Linked DNA regions of Lonchura striata. The main gene of each other region encodes a partner of the protein of the gene in region 2 in a complex. Links are inferred from orthologs where the notes say so. Each region holds a gene or a part of one and is shown on either strand. Other genes may lie near its edges.

What was found.
Region 1: PIGA (region 2) and PIGH share a complex: the UniProt entries of both Homo sapiens proteins name them as parts of the glycosylphosphatidylinositol-N-acetylglucosaminyltransferase (GPI-GnT) complex. The link is inferred for Lonchura striata from reciprocal best matches to the Homo sapiens genes PIGA and PIGH.
Region 3: PIGA (region 2) and PIGP share a complex: the UniProt entries of both Homo sapiens proteins name them as parts of the glycosylphosphatidylinositol-N-acetylglucosaminyltransferase (GPI-GnT) complex. The link is inferred for Lonchura striata from reciprocal best matches to the Homo sapiens genes PIGA and PIGP.

The regions. Positions count from the first base shown.
Region 1 is NC_134608.1:32,902,409-32,910,484, forward strand, and holds the start of PIGH (phosphatidylinositol N-acetylglucosaminyltransferase subunit H), read left to right. Parts: upstream 1-5,017; 5' UTR 5,018-5,027; coding exon 5,028-5,207; intron 5,208-7,014; coding exon 7,015-7,224; intron 7,225-7,830; coding exon 7,831-7,914; intron 7,915-8,076. Other genes in the region: ARG2 (arginase-2, mitochondrial), read right to left, coding at 2,282-2,354, 2,474-2,590. UniProt on the Homo sapiens protein: Part of the glycosylphosphatidylinositol-N-acetylglucosaminyltransferase (GPI-GnT) complex that catalyzes the transfer of N-acetylglucosamine from UDP-N-acetylglucosamine to phosphatidylinositol and participates in the first step of GPI biosynthesis.
Region 2 is NC_134604.1:100,048,966-100,056,380, forward strand, and holds the start of PIGA (phosphatidylinositol N-acetylglucosaminyltransferase subunit A), read right to left. Parts: upstream 3,084-7,415; 5' UTR 3,054-3,083; coding exon 3,013-3,053; intron 2,777-3,012; coding exon 2,118-2,776; intron 1,581-2,117; coding exon 1,448-1,580; intron 392-1,447; coding exon 259-391; intron 1-258. UniProt on the Homo sapiens protein: Catalytic subunit of the glycosylphosphatidylinositol-N-acetylglucosaminyltransferase (GPI-GnT) complex that catalyzes the transfer of N-acetylglucosamine from UDP-N-acetylglucosamine to phosphatidylinositol and participates in the first step of GPI biosynthesis.
Region 3 is NC_134604.1:114,839,616-114,846,877, reverse strand, and holds PIGP (phosphatidylinositol N-acetylglucosaminyltransferase subunit P), read right to left. Parts: upstream 3,001-7,262; 5' UTR 2,927-3,000; intron 2,838-2,926; exon of another isoform or gene 2,583-2,837; 5' UTR 2,564-2,582; coding exon 2,482-2,563; intron 1,682-2,481; coding exon 1,609-1,681; intron 1,151-1,608; coding exon 1,032-1,150; intron 800-1,031; coding exon 669-799; 3' UTR 166-668; downstream 1-165. Other genes in the region: E3 ubiquitin-protein ligase TTC3, read left to right, coding at 3,031-3,108, 5,898-5,943. UniProt on the Homo sapiens protein: Part of the glycosylphosphatidylinositol-N-acetylglucosaminyltransferase (GPI-GnT) complex that catalyzes the transfer of N-acetylglucosamine from UDP-N-acetylglucosamine to phosphatidylinositol and participates in the first step of GPI biosynthesis.

The DNA.
Region 1 (8,076 bases), on a different chromosome or scaffold from region 2:
TACAAACATTATATACCAGAAACTACCTGTGCTGTATTTACAATAATGTGCCAATATCTGTCACCTACATTGAACAGTGTGTTCCCAGCCTAAACCAATAGAAAAATACCAACACTGCAGTGAAACATGGAGGGCATGAAGAAGGAGAAAAAGGACAAAACACACCCAATTTCCTCCATCTTGTCCCCTTTGAACCCCTAATCTAGAATCCTAAAATTTTACTTTTGCACCCATGCCACACTTAATTATTACTTATCTCGAACACTCAGAGCTTGTAATTCATCCCGTAAGATTGAAATCTCTTTTCCATGGACAGAGATCAGAGACAGTGTCTCTCGGGGCTCTGTACAGGGAGGTTCCTGACCCCCTGCCAGGGTCCCAGGCCTTCCAGGGCAGCCAGAAGGAAGCTCTGGATTCCCACAACCAGCAAGAAAATATCTCCATGTGTTAGCATTCAGGAACACACATAATCATGGGATATGATTGTATGGAGGTGCTTTTATTGAGAGCTCTGGGAGTCAGGGATACAGACCCAAATCTGACTCTGATATGGCTTTCGAGCTGAACGTATTTTATATTCTATCATTATATAACTTACATATTAATTATTAAACTTATATTGTTCTATTGTATACATTGACATCAATTTCTCGTGATTTTTCTTAGGCCCCTGTCCAGAGTTATATCAAAGGGCTCAGATTTCCCTTTCTTTATACCTTCTGCAAGCTCCTATTGAAGTGAGCTTGTGTCAGGCAAATAAGAGGGTTTTGTCTTCCAGTTTTTAATTTGGTTGGGTTTTGTGGGTTTGAGCTTTTCCTCAAAGAATTCCTTCAAAGTGGAAACATTAGCTCTAAACCATTTGTAAGAGAACCCCAAGACTTCCAGCATAAAATTCTATTATTGATACTGAGTAATACCATTTGAAAGAGAACCCCAAGACTTCCAGCATAAAATTCTGTTATTGATACTGAGTAATCTGCTGCCTACAGCACTATTTAGAAGAGCATCCTCCTTTCAAACCTAGCATTTTATTAATTTCAGATAAACTTTAGACTAAGTAACTATTCCAGTACAAAGAACCTCTTTTAGATGCCCTCTTCCACACTTGCTGAAATTACAGCTCATTCTCACTAGAGTTCAAGTATTGCCAACAACGGCAATGTCTATACTTTGCATAAAACAAGAATGGAAAAGAATATCTACACATCTGGCTGCCAACTGGGACTTTTCAGCTTGTGAATCATAAGATATGCAGGATAAGCCTACAGGGCTACAAAGAACAATTACTTCTGTTTAGAAGCATTCTTACCATTCAGAATAAAATTGCTAGAGGGTTATTAGGCAATTATCTCTGTGTGCATCTAAACTCCACTGACACTAACCACCCAGGGAGAAGATATTGGTTCTTTCTGTGGTACATCCCTGCAATCCATCTTCATCACACCATTTTCAGTAACACTCTTTAGATTAAAGATTCTCCAAGACACAGTTCAGCTTTACAAATTTCTATCCCTCGTGTCCTGTTTCTAGTAAATGTGGTACAGCTTTCTGCAGCTTGTGGACGGAATAGATGTGAGAAGTTGAATCACAACTAAGTGCATGGATTTGCTTGCACAAAAAGACGAGAAACAGCCCATTCACAGGGTGACATTTGCAAGCGTTTTCAAAGACTTCACACAAGACCTCTTATATAAAACTGACGATTTCTCCAGAAAATTCTGAATTTCATCACCTGGAAGCATACGAATCTTTTAGGAACAAACTGGTAACGAACACAGAAAAAAAAAAAAATAAGGCAAAGCCCACACTACGTGCTAACCCGAGGGTTAGTCACAGTTCCTTCTCTGGATGCCACGAGCGCGCACAGCAGTTCGGGCGGCCGCTCGCTCCGCGGCAGTCAGCAGGGGAGCATCACACGCTCCGTGCGCCGCTCGCTGCGCCAGCGCGGCCGGCTCGGCTGCGTGCCGCTGCTCTGGGCAGCCGGAGCGCATCGCGGCCGGGGAGCCGGGACCACCGGCCGCTCTTTGTTCCGGGACCCCCGCAGGGCCCACTGCGGCTCCTCCCGGTGCGGCATGCGACGGGCGTTCTCCCTCCCGACGCCTCCGCAGGGCTGCGGGCACCGCCGGCGCCGGGGCACGGTGTGCTCCGTGAGGCACCGGAGGCGGGAGCCGCCTCCCCCCGCCCGCAGGAGCGGCTGAGTCACGCTGCCCCCCGAGCGGAGGGGGGCGCGGGCGGCCCCGCAGCCCCCGCCGCCACCCCCCGCCCGCCGCGCTGTGCTCACCGAGCCCGGCCAGCCGCTCCACCAGCCCCGCGGCGCGGAGGGTAGCGGGGCCGTGGTCCACTCCCCGCCGTTTCTGCGAGACAAAGAGAGGGGAACGCGTCAGACAGCGCTGCCCGCAGCCAGGTACGCGAGCCCCGCCGGGGAAGGGGAGCCGGGCGAGCGCGGCGCCCGGCGCATCCCCGCGATGCCCACCTGGCCCCTGGAGAGCGGGGCTCCCACCAGCGCCACGGAGTGCGCCCCGCGGCGCGGCCGGAGCGCGGCGTCGGGCTGGGCGCGGAGCAGGCGGGCGAGGGATCCGCGCAGGGCCATGGCGGGCGGTGCTGCCGCGCGCCGCCCGCGCCCCGCTCTCTTTAGCGCCGCGCGCCGCCCCCGCGCCGCCGGCCAACGGCAGCGCGCGCGCACGGAGGTGTGTCCGCGCGCCCCGCCCCCGCGCCCGCACGCCCGCCCGGGGTTTTTCCACTGCCGCCGCCGGGGGCACGGACGGGGGCTCGGAGAGAACGAGCAGCGCCTCAGGCTGGCGATGAGATGCTCGTTCTCTCTGACACGTGTAGGTCCCCTCTGTGTGCGAGCCGCACGCTCCTGCAGCTCAGCCCGGCTCCCTGGCTGGCCGCTCCGTGGCTTCCCCGAAGGAAAACGGTGACGCTCATCACCAGATGACCTTAATAAAGCATTGAAGGACCACCTGTTCAGCACCTACCTCGAATATTGATCGCAGAGCATCGTGGCCTGAGACGATTCTCGGGTCTCCAGCTATTCATATTTGAGGCACATTTGAAGGATGATTAACAAATGATTTAAAAAGAAGTGGCAGTCCCCACCTTTCCCTGCTGTGACAAGGCAACAGGACTCCCACTGTCGAATGTCCAGTCTTTATCTACAAGCTTGAAAGAAGGCTGACAGCTCATGAGATAACAGGGCAGAAACATAGTTAAATAGGGACTTGCCAGAGACACATATTAAAAAATCCAAGCATATTTTGCTTTTTCGTCTTAAGATTTCCTAGTTCTCCTCCTATCTCTGTATGTCAATAACTTCTTTGTGTCTTGTTGTGAATGTGAATTATTGTTATCACTCCTCCAGGAGATCATATTTCTTTTCTGTCCTGTTTACTGACCTGGCTGTTCACAGTGCTTTTACCTCTTCTACTTCTTACTCTGATATTTCTTTCCCCTTCTTGTCCCCATCTCTGAAGCTGTCATACCAGCTGCCATAACTCCTGCTTACATGCTTCAGTCCTTCTCACCTGCCATTTCAAACCTTTCTTCCATCTTTTAAAAGCCTGTTTTCAATTTATTGGGTTTTTTCCACTTTCACTTCATCAACTAACTTCTTTCATCCTCTTTTGAACTTCAGTATTTTCTTCTCCATTTCTGCACTTCATTGTCTGCTGTTAATTTTTTTTTTCCTCCAGGCCAGCTCACCTTTCCTCTTCAGAGGAAGAGGAAAGCCCATTCCTCCACCTGGTCTCTTGTGTCAGAGTGGGATCCTGGATGTACTGCACAAGACTTCCCATGGATGGCAGCCATCAACCACTCCTCCAGGCAAAGCAAAGGCCTCGGTAGTGATTCTCTGATGCCCCTTGTTTTTTCATGTCCCTTAAGACTTCTTTGGTGCCCCTGTGAGAACAAGTTAACAGCTTTTTTGTACATACAGTATCCACCCAAGAGCTCTGAGGATGCCATGCATGAAGTAAATTGCTCACAGAAAGATGGCACCTGCAATTAAAGCTAACACTCAAAAACTGTGGGAGAAGGGAAAAAAAAAAAAAGGCCAAAGAAATCAGGATGGCAGTTTGGAAGTCACAGAGCTGTAGTTTTATATTACTGCCACGTAGTCACAGAGCCACCACGAAGTCACAGAGCTGTAGTTTTATATTACTGCTATGTCAGTCACATGAAGTAATAACTGAAATGCATTAAAGGGAACACAATACAAAGATCCATTAAGTCTCTGTATGCAAAGCCAAGTCTCCAATTTATCATGTATTTAGTGGCAAGGGACCAGAAAACTCTGCTTTAAACCTTGGGGGAAAAAATCAAAAGAGCTTGTAGTTAGCTAAGCATGGTACAGATGAGAAAATCCATTAATGTAGTTGCAGATGGTAAGGACAAAGGGGTGAAAAGAGAACCTTCCTGAGAAGAGAAGGTTGCATGGAGAACTCATAGAAACCTTCCAGTATCTAAAGGGGCGTTCTGGGGAGCCAGAGAGGGTCTTTCCATCAGGAGTTGTAGTGATAGGACTAGGAGTAATGGAAAAAGGGTAAATTTAGGTTAGATATTAGAAATTTTTTCCTTTGCATGTGGTGAGACACTGGACCAGGTTGCCCAAGGAGGTTGTGGATGCTCCAACCCTGGCAGCGTTCAAAGCAAGGTTGGATAAGGCCTTGAGCAACCTAGTCCAGTGTGAGGTGTCCCTTTCCAAGGCGGGTGGTGTAGAACCAGATGATCTTTATGTTTCATTCCAGTCCCTTAACAGTCTACGATTCCATGAAAACCCCAGGCTCTTCATCACGTCAAGAGACACGTGCAGCACCACTAACCCGTGTGCCCTTTAACTAACACTCATACTCCGTAAACAGAGGAAGCAGGCAACGAATTATCAACATGTGCAAACCGCAGAAAGCGCTGATGTAATCGAGATTACGGACAGACGCCCGGGCAGGCACAGCCGAGGAGGCAGGCGGCGCGGGCCGAGCCGGCGGGCCAGGCTCCTCCCGCGGGAGGACGGCCGGCCCCGCCCGCCCGGCATGGCGGAGCAGCGCCGCTTCCTCTCGGCCTGCGGCGTGCCGATCGCGCTGCGGCGCCGCCAGCACAGCGCGTCCTGCCGGGAGCTGGCGGTGCGCGGCCCGCGCCTGCAGCTGCGCTCGCTCAGCGCCGTCACCTCCGCCGTCTGGCTGGCGGCCTACGGGCTCTTCGCGCTCAGCGAGGTACCGGCCCCGCCGCCCCGGGCCCTCCGCGGCTCGGCACGGCGCCGGCCGCGCCCCTCCCGCGGGCGCGCAGGAGTCCCGCGGGCTGCGCCGCCTTGGCTAGCGGCGCCCGGGGCGTGGGGGCGGCCGCAGCCCGCGGGAAGGCGCCGAGCGCCGCTCCGGGGCATCCCCCGCGCCCCGGCCGCTCCGAGCTGGTGGGTGTGTGACGGCAAAGGGACGGCCGTGCCAGCCTGCCGGCTGCGGGCCGCCACCTGCCTGCCCCAGTGGCTTCGCGGGTGCCTCTGTTGGTTTGTAGCCTCTTGACAGATAGGGTAGATGTATGGGTGCTGAGTGATGCCTGGCACATCCTTCTGAGTCCAAATAACACGTGTTCACTTGGAGAAATGAGTTGTGAGAATCTGAAATTAAGGAGGAATTGAATAAGGTGAATGATTTTTAATCCTCAAAAGGAATTTTTCTAAGTGACACCGGGAGCACTGCACCGGGAATGTCATCAATTTTCACAGCTGAGGCAGAAAGATATTTGCAGTACAGATATAAAAGTCTGCTGATTCCTAAATTAATGCTTTTGGATTAATCAGAAACTGGACCCAGACAAGTTATGTCCAGACTGAATTCAGTAGCTTGACCAAAGAAGCTGGTCACTGTGACCCATGCTTTGACTGTTGCAAATCAGTTTTTTTCAGTAATCCTTCTTAAGAAACAAAGGTAGAGTCAGTTGTCAGACAGAAATAGATGGTTCCTGATTAAATTTCTTTTTTTACGAAAGCATGTCATTCTTTTTTTACACTGCAGTCAGTGGTTAGCACCCACTGCCCTCCTGCTTGTCTTTACACATGCTCCTGCAGCCTGCATGCAAGTGACTGCAATTCTTCCTTTAGCCAGGAAATCAGGCCTGAAAGTGCCCCTCTCTTTTTGTGGATTTCAGTGTCTGTACTTCATGACTGTTTTTTTCCCCTGTGATAGCAAACTTTTGGAGATGTCCTGTGTGCTTCCTGAAGCGATGGCTTCTTTTGCTCACATGGTGGTACAGGCCCAGCTTGAGTGGTAGTAGGGCTGTGCAGTTCTGTTCCTTTAGAAAGTGTCACTTATAACTCTCATTCATGAGTAGGTGGCCTGAAGATCTCTAAAACATGTCTCAGAAACAGGTTGTGGGTTGTGGACCTTTAGAATTTATCACCAGGTCTTCAGATGATTTACTGGTGACTATAGTGTCATTGGTTATATATTAAAATGTAACAGCAATCCCAAGACTGTGGCATGCAAAAGACATTGATCCTTACACAAAATACAGGATAAAGCAAAATTTCATTGGGTTGGTATTTAAGGCAAGAAGTGGGTGTGGTTTGAACAAGTTTGGACTGGCAGTTCATGGTAAGAAAACCACCCTGGCAGTGTTTATCCTGAAGGAGGGTTCCTCTGCTTTGAGAATCCACCCTTGCTTCCTGTAAACATTTCACAACACTTTTTTGTCAGTGACATCATCTTTAGAAGTTGGCATAATACTCTCATTGATACATCTGGCTTGTTTGGGTTGAGATTTCTGCATTGAACTTGGAAGGGAATAGAATTTTCTCGCAGTTTTCAGTTTCAGCTCCCAATTCTTTTAGTGCATACTGCAAAGACTAACTTAAACCTCACTACATAGATATCAGCCAGCCAGGTGAATAAAAAGACTCTACCTAAGTAAAAATGCTTTGCACCTGTAGCTTTAATATACAATTTGCTGCGCAATTTTAATTTCTCTAAAGCTGTGTTAAAGTAACTGTAAGACCAGAGCTCTGCCTTTTCTTGGCTTGTGTTACAGAACAGCATGGTGCTCTCTGCCGCCATCTTCATCACGCTGATTGGCCTGATCATATACCTGCACTTCGTGAAGATTGACCAGGAATCCTTGCTGGTCATCGGCTCGCTCGGCATTCAGGTGACTTCCTCCTATGCCTCAGGGAAAGAGAGCACAACCTTCATTGAGATGGCTCAAGTGAAGGATGTGGTTATCAATGAAGCCATCCATATGGTAATCATACAAAATCTGTCTTCTTGTGTCTGGGCACACTCACATCCAGTGTATTTTCATGAGCATGATTTACCAGAGCAATTAAACACAGCACCATCCGTAGCTTTACTGACATCAGGAGCTTCAGATTTTTCAACTTAATTTGTCATCTCTCACCTTTAAAGGAGAAATCAAACCAAACAACCTCAAAAAGCCAAATCAATCCCTTGGATAATGCCACTGTCATTGAGCTAGTGGGTTTCGTTCTTTGTGTTATGCTGTTCTTTCAAATCCTGATGCCCAACTCCATATGTAATCAAGATGGAGATGAGAAGCTACGACAGCACAATGATTTTTCCTATTGCTGGGGTTTGCAAAGCTCCTGTAGAAAAGCAGACCTTACCCTTCCAGCATGTGTGTGTTCTTCTTAGGTTAAAAACTTAATAGACAGTCAACGTTATTTCTTTATTGAGTGAAAGCTGTTGATACAAATTTGTAGACTTGACTGTGACCTGGCAGGATTTGCCTTCAGCCCAGTGAGTTGAAACAGATCCTACTTCTGTGCTAACTCCAGGCAGTTTGACAGCATTTTTATACTCCAATGATTTTTGTCCGTTTGTCTTGTAGCAAAAAGTTATCTACTACCTGTGTATCCTCCTCCAGGACCCTGAAGATCCTCAGGGAGTATCTGAGGTTGTGCCACTCTTTCAAGTGAGTTTGACTGAATGGTGGAGAAATCCATGTTGTAGTCTTTGTGTTGCATCAGTTGTCTAAGCATATTTTTATTCTGCTACAGGTAGCTGGTGACAGTTGCCTTTCCCTGGCTGGGCTGTCAGGATGTGTGGCATTTGAAATCTCACAGAACTACATACT
Region 2 (7,415 bases):
TTGGAGAAGCAGTCTGGCTAGTTCAGAGAACTGAGAGCAGATCTACATGTTATTCCCAATTCCACACAAAATTCTTCTTGGAGTTAACCCTTCTGTCTCAGCTTCCAGGTGATCTGTAAATGGGCATAACATTTGCTTACCTCTGCCAAGACAGAGCCTCAGATGAAATTAAATGTGATAAGCCCATATTATTTCATTGTGAAATTTGTTTAAAATGGATACATGTTTTCTAAATACTGCCATTTTTTTTTTTTTTACCTGTAAACCACAGCTTGCTGCCTCCACAATAGCCATACAAAAGGCCTCAGTGAGGGAAGTGTTGAGAAAAATGTGCCCCTGGACCAGGACATTTCTGACCTCCTGGTGTTCCAAGCCTCCTAGAAGACGCACCCTGCAAACAAGAGGAAAAAAAAAACAAACCAAAAAAAACCATCAGAGATAAACACTAGATTTGGACCATAACAATGCCACATACTCTGAAAAAGGTATCAATGGTTCATACTTATATAGTGACAGAACAAAGATGGGCACCTCAGTTTAGTGTTATCTAATTTTTTCCAGCAACAGAGAAATAGAAGACCCTGCTTTTTTATTGTCACACTGAAAGAAACTTCTGAAAATAAAGTTGGTGGGAGAAGTTGGTGTTTTAATGACATTTGCCTCCAGAACACTCATACTGAGCCTTCTAGTTCTGCAAGAAAATATGGCTTCCTTCAGTTAATAACTAAGATTTGTCAAATATATTATCTGACTTTTCTATGTGAGGTCTGACCATTCTGAGTCTGATAAGGGAAAAAGTTTTTAAGATACAATCATCAGGACCCATCATCTTTAAGAGACATTGGAAAACAATAAAGGGTAAAATGAGAATGATACTGACAATTTTAATTGGGGAAATCACTGACTAAAGCACAAAACAGGCAATAAAAAACCTAGAAAAGTAAACAAACAATTGAGAATATGAAACTGTTCGTGATCAAGAAAACCCAAGAGAAATACATAAATGGCAACATTCTGGTAACATGGTAGCACCAGGTAATAAGTTTGTAGTACCACAAGAAAACATAAGAGACAAGCACTATACTGAAGAACTTCATACTGAAATAATAAATTACTAGCAGTCATCATCACATGCAATGGCACAAACGAGATGTTAACATCTATGCCAAATGATATCCAAGCATCATGGTTGCACAGAGGGGCATGATCAACTTAAATCTAAGTCACCTTTCTATGACCTGAGTGAAGGCTCATTCAGGGCTTATTCATAGAAAAATCAATTAACTTGCTGGATCATAGTCCAGCTCTCAAAGTCTTCAGTGTCTGGTTTATCTGCCTTGCCTTTAGGCCTCCAGTCTCAAGATTTGGGGTTTATCTGAGGGAAGGAGGCAGGCAGGTCCCCACCCCTGAAGTACCTTGAAGGGTCATGGATAACCACAGAACAAACCTGTCATGTAGCTGGTATCTTTCCCGGACTTCTTCCAGTATGATTCGTTTTGGTCCTTCTCCTCCAACTAAGAAATGTAACTCCGGATATTTCTGACAGAGCTCAGGAATTATACCACTAAGCAGATCAATACCTAAGAGTAGGAAATTTAGGGCAAGCCATTATTGCATTTGATTTCAGAACTTCTCATGATGTAGCCCACATCTACAACTCTATTCAGGAGTAGAAGAAGTGGAAAAAAAGTCTCCTGAAGACAGTTAAACTGCTGTACACAGAAATATGAAAAAAACCCGACAACTTGAGACCTCGTACAAGAAGAAAATGGAAACAAAATCACTTAAGCTGCTGTCACTTGATTAAATAAAAAACAATTAAAACATTTCTAACAGAATATTTAGATTAGGCTCTAAATCTTATGTCCAATATGAGCCAAACCTTCCATTTTACAAACTGCAGTTTTTGGTCTCTTCAGTATTACAAAGGAAACACATTTCTGAAGCCAACACGTACAAAAACAAATGTACATGTCTTCTTCTTAAGTTTGCAACAGCCACCTCGCCACTCCCAGTGAAAATTCCATCCATACCACAGATACTGCCTAAGTGACACCTGACCAAGACCTCTCCAAAGTAAGGAAACCAAACTAAGCTTACATTTGACCCCCTATTACCTTTTCTGTAAACAAGTCTGCTGACAACAACGATTGTTATTGTACTGTCATCCCTCCTCGAGGGGTCTGGAGTGAAGTCGGTGGGATCGACAGCGTTGGGGATGACAGAGACTATCCGAGGGTCCAAGGCTGCTCGCAACACCGTGTTCTCCTTGCTGGTGTAGGAGACGCAGATGATGTGGTTGGTGTCGCACAGGGACACCGTCAGCAGCTTGTTGGTCAGCACCGAGCTGACGTCCGCGAAGCCAAAGAGGGAGTGGTCAGTGAAGACGGTCCGCAGCCCCATGGTCTTGGCGTGGAACAGGGCGTCGTGGGCCATGGCCGAGAAGGAGCTGTGGGCGTGCACGATGGTCACCCGCTCCCGCACGAAGATGTACCTGAGCAAGGGCAGGCTGTGGAAGAGCGTCGTGGCCGTGGACTGGTTGTACATCACCTTCAGGGGCAGGTAGTAGACTTTCAGCCCGCTGGTGAGGTAGCGGACGCCCTTGCGGTGGCCGTAGGCGTGGGTGACCACCAGGACCTTGTGGCCGCGCTCGATGAGGCACTGTGACAGCTGGTACACGTGGCTCTCCACGCCCCCCATGTTGGGGTAGAAGAAGTCCGACACCATGCACACGCTGTGCGCCGCCGGGCCTCCGCCCTGCATCCCGGGCCCGCTCCTGCGGGGGGAAGGAGCCACAAGGCGCCGTCACTCGCCCGCGGCGGCCCGGCCCCCTCAGCGCCCGCGGCTCCAGCGCACGCAGGGCGGGGCGGGCCCCCGAGGAGCGCAGAGCCCGCGCGGCCGCGCCGGGGGAGCCGCGCACGTACCCGTACCCGGACGCGTACCCGTACCCGTACCCGTACCCGGACCCATATCCGTGCCCGCTCCCGGACCCGCTCCCGTGCCCGCACCCACCTGCCGGCGGCCGGCGCTCCCTGCGTGCTGCCCGGCGCCATGGCCCCATCGCCGCTCTCCGCCGCGGCCAATCGCCGCCCGGCGCGGCGTCACGCGGGAAAACCAGCGCCAATCGCTGCGCAGGACGGAGATTGGCTGCGGCGCGCCCGCGATCCCGCCCCGCTCCCGGCATCCCGCCCCGCTTCCTATCCCGCGATCCCGCCCCGCTTCCTATCCCGCGATCCCGCCCCGCTCCCGGCATCCCGCCCGGCTCCCGGCATCCCGCCCAGCTCCTACCCCGGCATCCCGCCCCGCTCCCGGCATCCCGCCCGGCTCCCGGCATCCCGCCCCGCTTCCTATACCGGGATCCCGCCCCGCTCCCGGCATCCCGCCCCGCTTCCTATCCCGCGATCCCGCCCCGCTCCCGGCATCCCGCCCCGCTTCCTATCCCGCGATCCCGCCCCGCTCCCGGCATCCCGCCCCGCTTCCTATCCCGCGATCCCGCCCCGCTCCCGGCATCCCGCCCCGCTTCCTATCCCGGGATCCCGCCCGACTCCCGGCATCCCGTCCCGCTTCCTATCCCGGGATCCCGCCCCGCTCCCGGCATCCCGTCCCGCTTCCTATCCCGGCATCCCGTCCCGCTCCCGGCCCGCCCCAGCTCCCTATCCCGGGATCCCGCCCCAGCCCTCTGTCCCGGTGTCCCGCCCGTTCCCGGGGCCGGACACCGAGGGCACGGCGCTAATGCAGCAGCGAGGTCCTTGCTGTAGTGGGATGCTCGTTCCGGAGGGTTGTTGTCAAAAAGGTGTATTACGGAGCTACGGAAAATGTGACATAAATGTCGTATTAGGGATGGGATTGCCTCAAAATTCCAAAGGCTTTGCTCTGCCCCCAGTGAAGAAGCTCTTCTGGTGTGTTAGGCTCAGTTGCATCTGGAGCTCCCGAAATGTTCTAGACTTTTCTGCCAAAAGTGCTGAAAGCTTGCTGTCTCTAAATGAAAATTAATTTTAAAAATATGTTTTTAATAGATGGTCCGGGAGCTTGAACACTGGGAAAGGAGCTGGTTGGCATCACTTGGCTATGTATTCCTGGTCTTCGTGAGGAGCCTCACCATCAGCCTTTTCTGCAGCTCCAACACTGTCCTGGCTGCTGCTGGCTGCCAAGAAGGGTGTTCATGCCTTTCCTGTATATTCCCAAAATTATGTTTGGCAGTTCTTCTTCTTGCCAAGATTTCTGATATGAATTTTGTCAGATTTGAGTCTGTCGTGACTCCTATGCAAATGTGCTTGTTGTGAGTGACAGTACAAGCTGACCTAGGCTGGAGTGCTGGCTGGATTCCTGTTAGATTGAAGCTTGGACAGATGTGGTTTGGAGGCACTGATCCCAGGAAGGACTACGGAGGAAATCAGGCATGTCATTCTTGGGACTGAATGATGTGAAAACCTCTACTGTGTTGACTAAGAAAGGCATTGCTCATTAATTGAATTTTCCTCATGTGTTCAGAAAGATGGGACCAGCACTGGCAAATCTGATTTCATCATCAGGTGGTTCTCTGGAGTGTAAAGAACCTGAATTTCAGGATGAGAAGCTGAGTGTGAGGCCAGAAGAGGGGAAACTTCTCACCAGCAGCTGCAGGGTGTGAAAGAAGAGTTGGAGAAGCAGGAGTTTGTAGGCATCCTAGTTCTCAGAAGAAGCTATAGCCTCAGTGTAAAGCTGTGGCCTTCAATTACATCTAGGAAAAAGGCACCAAAGTAGTGCCAGGAGAAGGAGGAATTCACCTGGGGGCTCTCCAGTGCAGCACCCCATGGTAGTGGTGATCTCCCTTGCTGTCACACTGCCCTGAAGAATCAAGCTGTCAAGTCACTCCAATTTTAGCTGTCAGGAAAACAATGCTAATGGTTTTAACTATTTTAAAATAATTTTGTTTAGATTAGTTCTTCATGTGTATTCTCTAGAGAAGTTGTAATTCTTGCTATGCAAACTTTAAAAATCTGAAGAGAAATTGTAATTGGTACATGACATAGCAGCTTCTTCCTTTACTTTCCCAGCAGTTGGTCATTGGCTCTGGATGTCTTTCTGAAGGAAATCAGGGATTGGGGCCAACCTTCATGCCTTTGGCCTGGCATGTTGGCTTTGGTGGTCTGACATGTGTGTTCTTCATTAAATGTGTCTGGTTGAGCTTAATGTCATTCCTGTCAGAGGTCCAGTAAATCCCCCTGTATCAGCAACCTTCTCCTGTTGACATATTCAAAAGAACTTGAATAATTTGTCTTCCAAGTAGCCTAGGACAAACCTTAATAGAAAGGAATCTTTGCCACTGCCAAGTTGAAAAAGGTGCTGCTAAATTTTGTCTCCACAGCTGGTTCACAAGGATGGGATAATATTCATTTTACACTGACTGTGGTGTGGTGTTGTGTATTCATAAAAGGGTCACAGATCCTGATCATATCCAGACTCTCTCCTGGCCTGATATGAGGTGAAGCCCATAATGAAGAGACCAACACCTGAAGAAAGAGTCAAATTTTCTTACTTTCTAAATCCTGCACTCAATGTATTCAGTCCCTCAGAGCACATACAAGGTCAGAGTGAGGCTGTAGGATAAAGTGTAGTGAGTAAAGATGTAAAACCTGTCACAGCAGAGTAATTGCCACTTCCAATCCTGGTCCTTGAATGCTCTCTAAAACATCTCATAAATTGAGTTAATGGAGAGAGAAGATGGAGGACACTCCAAAACTCCTGTGTCTTTGTTCAGGTAGCAGATGTCATCATGCCTCAAGGAGACCTCTTCAGTGTACTTGAAAATACAGGAAAACTCTGCCAAGTACTCTGCACTTGCAACTCCCACTCAGTCTCCTCTCAGGCTGAATTTGCCACTCTATCCCCCAGCCTGTTGCATGACATTGCTCTTATTCCCTGTCTTTATGGGGCAAAGACTATCACTATTTGGTGAAGTGGCTAAGCTGGTGTATTAAATTAATGCATTTATTTAAACTCAATAAGCCTAAAGCTTATTTATTATTAATACATTTATTATTAAAAACAGTAATAATTGACAAAAACAAGCTATCAGTTCTTCACAGAGTACTTCACAAAAGAGCTGTGAAGCAGTGCTGCTCTAGAGCCTGATGCCATGACAAGGGAGCCACAGTTCTCCTGGAAAAGAAATCTTATGACATGGAACAGTGGTGTGAGACAGCACAACTAGCTTGAAGTGAAGAACATTTCCTTTTCATGGTCCAGGAAAGCAGAAACTGTTGGAAACCACAAATTAAGTGCATGAGTGAAAAATAGTAGTACTGCTGAATGGAGAACTGTGGGCTGTAGATGTATCATAAACAGAGACTGGTTAGTGAAACCAAGCATGACAGCCAGAGACAGCCCAACACCTTGCTCAAGAAATGACAGTGTTTGCAGTTTTTGGTCCTGCTGGAATTAAATAGAGCCCAGAACAGAGAAGAAAGCAGTATTTGGAATTATTTCTCTGAAGAAAGAGGACTAATTGTCCTTCCATTTAGTTTACTTGTACAGGGTAAGGCTGAAGAGCCTGTCACTTCTAAGATTCCTGCATAGAGGGAGTGAGTGTCTCCCTCAGCAGTTGTTTTTTGCTGCTAGGAAATAGCAACAGGATCTAATAGATTCCATAATACCATAGAAAAGTTGGTTTTGCCTGGTTTCTACCACATACAGCCAATCTTATTACCTGGCTGGAATACCTCCCATAAAGCAGCCAGGAAAAATCATGGTTTTCTCATTCAAGCACCTGGGTTTTCCTATTCATGGAATCCCACAGAAGCTTGCTGAAATTACATGTTAATGTACTTCTAAAATACAGGTTTCAAGTTGAAAGCTTAACAAACCACAGTGCTGTCTGCGAAGGAAATTACCACTAAACTCAAACTGAAGAAAGGGCTTCTTTTCTGAAGCCAGATTTCTCTCTTAGATGCCAGAAAATAAGTTGATTTTCCATTTTACAGACACTTCTCCCTTCCAAGCAGTTTGGAATTGATCTGTGGGACATGAATTTGCTAGCAGAAGGGAGAAGTTGATTGGCAAGGCTGAAGGCTGTGTGTGTTAGCTCTCAGGTGTGTGATCTGTGTGCCTCTCATGCGTGCCCTGAGGTCTCAATCTCTTGGTCATACTCTGCATGTTACAGTGCTCTTCCACCCCAGTGCCCAAAGCATTCCCTTCCCTGTCAAATCAGGTCAGTGAAAGTGAAGAAGAGCATGAGGGCTCAGGAGCAAAGATGTACACCAGGAGCAGCTTCCAGTCCTCTGGGCTAATAAACAACTTACATCTCCTAGCAGGACACAGGACAGGACAGCTGTTGGCAGTGCATTTGCAGTGTTCTCAGTAATCCTGAGAATACTGAGAATGTCTGAGAAGAATTCTCTTTTACACCACCTGCCAGTGAGTCATTCACCACTGCC
Region 3 (7,262 bases), about 15 Mb from region 2:
AAATCTTCACAACCCACCTTTATTATTTTTGGTAACTCGGTAAATCTGATATTTTGGGGGGGTGGGGGGATCAACAGGTTTGGCTGAATAAAGAATTGTGTGAAGGAAAATGGAGAATTTATCACCTCAACCCAGGAGAAACCTCCCAGAATCACAAGAAAATGGTGAAGATGGAAAAATCAGTTACATTTTATTAATATTTACAAAGGCAAATGATATATTTACAATGCAAACACTTCCAGTTAATAATTGAAAAAGATCCTCAAGTGTTTGACTGGCAAAACACATTTTTCTCTCCCTGAATTTAAAAAAAAATAGAATTAAACTGTCTAAAAGCTGCTTTTTTTCCCCGCTCAGAGGGGAATTCCAAGCAAAAAGCTGCAAGTAACAGAACACTTTTCAACCCACTTTTTTAATTTTTAAATAACAACCAGATAAATGACTGGGGCATAATTTTCAGAGCAATGCAGGTTAATAAGGTGCATAATAATAATAATAATAATAATAATAATAATAATAATAATAATAATAATGAAGCCATATGAATTTAATTAGAAATTCAGGGGAAAAAAAGCTGAAAGAGTTTGTTTTTTTTTTAGCTTGGAGAGGTTTTAATCGTTCCTCAGTAATTTTTATCAATCCTTTGTCCAAACAGATTTTAGTAACAACTATCTGCTATTGCAGATGCCTTTTTCAGGGAGAAAAAACATCCTGTTGACTTCACTGATGGGAATATCTCTCAGGGCTGGAATTGCCTCCTCCTGGAATTTCTTCTGCTGCTGCTTTTTTGCAAAGTTATCTACAAAAGATAAGGAGAGCATTTCATGGTTTCCAGGTCCTTTTCTTCCAAGAGTATGATATAATTTTATAAGGCAGCACTACAAATTTAGCTTACTTTAAAGGATGCTGAAAACCCCACCAGGGCTTCCAATAAATCAAATATTTAAAGGCTTAAATTTCGGGGTTTATCCTCTATAGATTTCCAGAATTCTCAGTGAAGGATCCAACTTTTCAATAAGCAGTAAAATCACCTGTGATGGTGTGAGTGGAGTTGAGTGGAGCTGTGCTCATCATGTTAATCCCAAAAAGCAAAATATAACCAATTCCCACAGCCACCAGGAGATAAACTGGCAGAGCAACTGCCCAGTACCTGAAAAAAAGGATTTGAAATTTTATATTTAGTAACAAATGCCTACTAATGAATTGGCTTTAATTGTTGGCATTGTACCTGTGATGAATTTCTACAAGAGGAAAAGCAGCAGCACCTCTGATTATGAATCCTGATTCCACTGGAGCTACTGATAAACCATCAGATAAATTCCTTCAAAAAGGTCTTTATTGTTTAATTATGCCCTACATTTTACTGTATTTCCACTAGCAGACTTCCTAAAAAGCAAAATGTCAAATTTATCCTAAAGCATCCCAATATTATTTATTTCATGGCACAACAAAACCTTTTCACCTTAGCTACATTTTAAAAATGCTTTAGAAACATTACAATTCTTTATCAGCATGGGAAAATTGATTTTATTCTAGGCCCTTATTTAAAAATAAAGTTTTTTATTTGAAAATAACTAAGATTAAATTTATTTTATTGGCTGAACTTACTTTTGAGGCCAGTATGTCAGTCCCAGGGAGAAGAGCCAAGTCTCAGGAATATAAGCCCAGATAAGGTACAAAACTGCACAACAAAATCAAAAAGTCACAATAAGACTGATGGTGTTTTAGACTTCCTAAGTTTTGCTTTTATTTAAACTAAAATACCTCTCCCAAAAGATTGCAGGACAAATCCTGCCCAGCCCCTGGTTACACGGGATCAGTTTTGTTCTTGCTTTAACATTTAATTTCTGATTTCCTATGAAGACAGCCAAGAATTTACTCCAAATTAAACTGCAGAACAATAAAGAAAAAAAAAAAACCAACAAAACCACCCCCAAGCACCTCAATAAAAAGAAGCCAAAGGAATCTGAACAGAGATACTATTAAAGCAGAGAATGATCTCACAGAGGTCATTTTATGGGAAGAAAACCGGGTGGAATTGTAGTGTTTGGATGGAACTGTAATGAAAATTACTGAAAATCCTTCCTGATTCTTCTTGGGGGGGAGTTGAGCCCAACTCCCCCTCGTTTCTCACTGCCCGACGGTGCCACACACCCACAGCAGGATCCTGCACTGAAGGATATTTGCAGCACCTTTTCTTGTGCTGGAAAAGTGTTTTCTACCCTCTCAAACCCTGGATCCCCAGTGAAAAGAAGAACCCATCACATCAGCAGGGAAAAGCTGATGGAACCTAAAATATTTTACACTTCTGTTGACCAGATTATTTTTTTTTTCATTTTTTTGGTGGGGAAGGTAACACCACAACTACCTCCAGCGCTTAGTGAATGTGAAAATGAGCGTGATTCGAGTAAAAAAAAACGGATTTAAACGGGAAAGCAAAGCAGCACTGCGGGGTGATGGATTCGGCTGCGCGATACTCACTGAAGCCAAACCACGAGCCCAAAAAAAGCGCAAATCCGTAAATTGCCCTTTCTGGCAGCGGGGCCGGAGAGTTCTCAACCATGCTGGGCTTTTGCCTTTAACTTCGCGGGGAGTGCGGAGAACGGGACACGAGGGTAGCAGAGATAGATAAGGGACAGCAGAGATAAGGGATAGCAGAGATAGATAAGGGATAGCAGAGATAGATAAGGGATAGAAGAGATAAGGGAGCGCTTTGGGGGGGCCCCTGTACCCGCGGCTGCGGGGGCCGCACCCCTCCCTTCTCCCCGCGCCCGGCTCTGCCCCTTTGCTGTCCACAGCCTGGCCCAGGAGGAGGAGGAGGAGGAGGAGGAGGAGGAGGAGGAGGAGGAGGAGGAGGAGGAGGAGGAGGAGGAGGAGGAGGAGGAGGATGATAATGATGATGATGGGGGAGGAAGGCGCTCCCTACCCCCGCTCCCCCATCCGCCACCGCGCCGCCTGCATCCGGCCACGCGCGCAGGCGCACGGCCCGCCGATTGGCCGCGGCCCGTGACGTCAGAGGGCGGGCGGCCAATGGGCGGTGCGTCCGGCGGGCGGGGCGCGCCGGGGCGGCGGGAGCGGCGGCGCCGCGGCAGCAGCGGGATCGGAGCGGTGCGTGCGGGATCCGGGCATGGATACCGGGACGGAGGGATACAGGGATACAAGGATGGAGGGATACAGGGATACAAGGACGGAGGGATACAGGAGGGACGGAGCGGTGGCCGCTCGGCCGCCTTCCCCCGCGCCTCGCCCAGCCCGGAAGCCCCGGTTTGTGCCCGGCACCGTGAGCGCGCCCCGGGCCGCACACGCGGTGCCGTGAGCATCTCCGGGCTCTGGGAGCACCGGCACGGACGGCGTCCCCTTCTCCCCTTTGGCAGGATAATCCACGCGAGCGGCGAGCCCGCGGTTTTCCGGGATCGGGTGGCGGCGGAGGGGGGAGCCCGGGAGCTGCCGGGACGGGGCGGGGTGTTCGGCATCCCGGGATGCAGCCGTGATTCCCGGGATCCAGCCGTGATTCCCGGGATCCAGCCGTGATTCCCGGGGGTGCAGCCGTGATCTCGGCATGCAGCCGTGATTCCCGGGATCCAGCCGTGATTCCCGGGGATGCAGCCGTGATCCCGGGGGTGCAGCCGTGATTCCCGGGGGTGCAGCCGTGATTCCCGGGGATGCAGCCGTAATCCCCGGGATGCAGCCGTTATCCCCGGGGGTGCAGCCTTGATTCCCGGGATCCAGCCGTGATTCCCGGGATGCAGCCGTGATTCCCGGGGCTGCAGCCGTGATTCCCGGGGCTGCAGCCGTGATTCCCGGGATGCAGCCGTGATTCCCGGGGCTGCAGCCGTGATTCCCGGGATGCAGCCGTGATTCCCGGGATGCAGCCGTGATTCCCGGGATGCAGCCGTGATTCCCGGGATGCAGCCGTGATCCCGGGGCTGCAGCCGTGATCCCGGGGGTGCAACCGTGATTCCTGGGATGCAGTCCGGGATGCAGCCGTGATCCCGGGGGTGCAGCCGTGATTCCCGGGATGCAGCCGTGATTCCCGGGATGCAGCCGTGATTCCCGGGATGCAGCCGTGATCCCGGGATGCAGCCGTGCGGCAGGGCCCGGGCTCCTGTCGCGGTGTAGATCAGAGTCAGTGGCTGCCTGAGCTTCCAGCCGGGTTTAGGATGGCTTGCTCAGCGTTAAGCTGAACTTGCCCAGAGTTTAACAAGAGCAGCAGAGTGAGCTTTAGCGCCGTGGCTGTTGGAAGTGTGGCCCAGCTCCTGAGTTTGTCTCTCTGGTGTGTTTTCACCCTCCTTTTCTCCCAGGGTGATGTGCCATGGCTGGTCCTCTGTCCACCTTTGTAGCGGCTCTTTTTGGAGGTGGTCCGGCCTCCTTGGATCTGGTAAGAGGGGTTGGAGCTTGATGGGAAACTTGCAGGATGTTCCAGGGGAGTTTTTACCTGGATCTGGCCCTGGCACAGGGTGCCCAGAGCAGCTGGGGCTGCCCCTGGATCCCTGGCAGGTTGGACACTGGCCTTGGAGCAGCCTGGGACAGTGGGAGGTGTCCCTGCCGTGGCAGGGCTTGAGTGGGATGATGTTTGAGGTCCCTCCCGTCCCAGATCATTCTGGGATTCTCTGATCACATCTCCAGAGTGATTCCCAGTGTTCATGAACTCAAGCTGTGTACAGGTACCTCACACTGGCCATGATTCCCTTCCAAAAATCCCAAACTGGGGCAGAGCCAGAGCTGGTGTCCCCTGTGAGCAGGGGGGGACTGCTGGGACAGCTCCTGCCAGCACAGCTTGCCCAACCTCTTGGTCCTGTGGCCATTCCTGGGCTGCTTCAGCTCAGCCTGGCAATCAGCCCCTGCAGGGCAATCAGCTCTGTATTCCTGGGATTTCAGCTCTGTATTCCTGGGATTTCAGCTCTGGGCTCCTGGGATTTCAGCTCTGACTCCTGGGATTTCAGCTCTGGGTTCTGGGATTTCAGCTCTGTATTCCTGGGATTTCAGCTCTGTATTCCTGGGATTTCAGCTCTGGGTTTTGGGATTTCAGCTCTGGCTCCTGGGATTTCAGCTCTGGGTTCTGGGATTTCAGCTCTGGGCTCCTGGGATTTCAGCTCTGTATTCCTGGGATTTCAGCTCTGGCTCCTGGGATTTCAGCTCTGGGTTCTGGGATTTCAGCTCTGTATTCCTGGGATTTCAGATCTGTATTCCTGGGATTTCAGCTCTGGCTCCTGGGATTTCAGCTCTGGGCTCCTGGGATTTCAGCTCTGTATTCCTGGGATTTCAGCTCTGGGCTCCTGGGATTTCAGCTCTGGCTCCTGGGATTTCAGCTCTGTATTCCTGGGATTTCAGCTCTGGGTTCTGGGATTTCAGCTCTGGGTTCTGGGATTTCAGCTCTCTATTCCTGGGATTTCAGCTCTGTATTCCTGGGATTTCAGCTCTGGGCTCCTGGGATTTCAGATCTGTATTCCTGGGATTTCAGCTCTGGCTCCTGGGATTTCAGCTCTGTATTCCTGGGATTTCAGCTCTGGGTTCTGGGATTTCAGCTCTGGGTTCTGGGATTTCAGCTCTCTATTCCTGGGATTTCAGCTCTGTATTCCTGGGATTTCAGCTCTGGGCTCCTGGGATTTCAGCTCTGACTCCTGGGATTTCAGCTCTGTATTCCTGGGATTTCAGCTCTGTATTCCTGGGATTTCAGCTCTGGGTTCTGGGATTTCAGCTCTGGGTTCTGGGATTTCAGCTCTGGGTTCTGGGATTTCAGCTCTGGCTCCTGGGATTTCAGCTCTGAGTTCTGGGATTTCAGCTCTTCCCTGTGGGATTTCAGCTCTTCCGTGTTTGCTTTTTGGCTGTGCAGTGTACTAAATGGTAAATATGTAAATATATACCTGTAAATATGTAAATTATGTGTTTATCTTTAGTGTCGTGAAACATTTGGACATGTTGTGCCGCCTCGTCCTAAACCAGGTATTGAAACTAAACCAATATTCTTCCATTTCTTGGATCTTTGGATTACTATTTCATTTTATTTTTCCTTATGTTGCTTGAAAATTGGTTTATTATTATTTTTTAGCAGAAGCATTGTTATATTCTGTTACCCTGGAACAATTATCATCTATTTCCTAATCTAACTTAAATATTCAGTAATATTTACATAAATGCAGGCAATTAATGCTGTGAGGATGGAGATTCAAAGCTGGAGGTTTTAGCTGTGTGGGTCTAAAGAAAACTTCCAGTTCTTGGTTTTTTTTTGTTTGTTTGTTTGTTTGGTTGGTTGGTTTTTTTGGTTTTTTTTTCTTTTGTTTTTTTGGTGTGTTTTTTGTTGTTGTTTTTTTTTGGCAGGGAGGGTTTTTGCAGTAATAATTAAACAAAAATTCTCAGTTGCAGAAAAGCAGGTGGCTCAAATTCAAAATTGTATTTTCTGCACAGCCCTCTAATTGGTGGGAATAAGCAGATGAACAGCTGTGGAAGAGATTTTTTTTTTTGTGGATTTTTTTTGTGCAATTTTTTGGTGATTTTTTTTTTGTTGTATTTTTGAGTGCTTTTTTTTGTTGTATTTTTTTGTATTTTCAGACTCTCAAGTGATGTTGCTCTGCCCTGAGAGTACCTGAACCCACCCCAATAAACTGAATTTCCCTTTTCATTTCCTTCAGAGCACCTGTAGCCACCTCAATTACCCCATTTAATTTTTAATTCCCATCCCTCCCTCCCTGTTCCATCCAAATTCTGGGAAGTGCAGGATGCTTTTGGGGACAAACCCTGCTCTTTTTGTGCCCTCTTGCCCTGGTTAATTCAATTATTCTTGTCCAGAATAATTCATGGATACAGGTGGAAGAGGCTGCTGTTTTCCCTGGAAAAGAACATTCCCTTCCAGCCCAGCAAGGAGAGGCTGCATTTCTCCATTTTTATCTTATTATTTATTTAGTTCAGAATATTTATTTATTATTTATCCATTCAGAACACAGGAATGCCAAACCTTCCAGCATTTCTCTATCCATAATTCCATAAAAATCCCCTCTGAAAAACCCCCTCCATGACCAGGTGAGTTCAGAGGGTTCAGATTCCTTTGCTTTGCTTTGTCAGGAATAGAGGCTGGAATCATCCTGGATTTTAAATATTGGGACCTTGGAATGCCTGAAATAATCCTTTATTTTAAGATTTACTGTCACTTAGGAATGCCTGAAATAATGACTGATTTTAATATTTATTGACACTTTGGAATGCCTGAATTAATCCTTTATTTTAACGTTTCCTGGCACTTTGGAATGCCTGAATTGTGCCCTGTA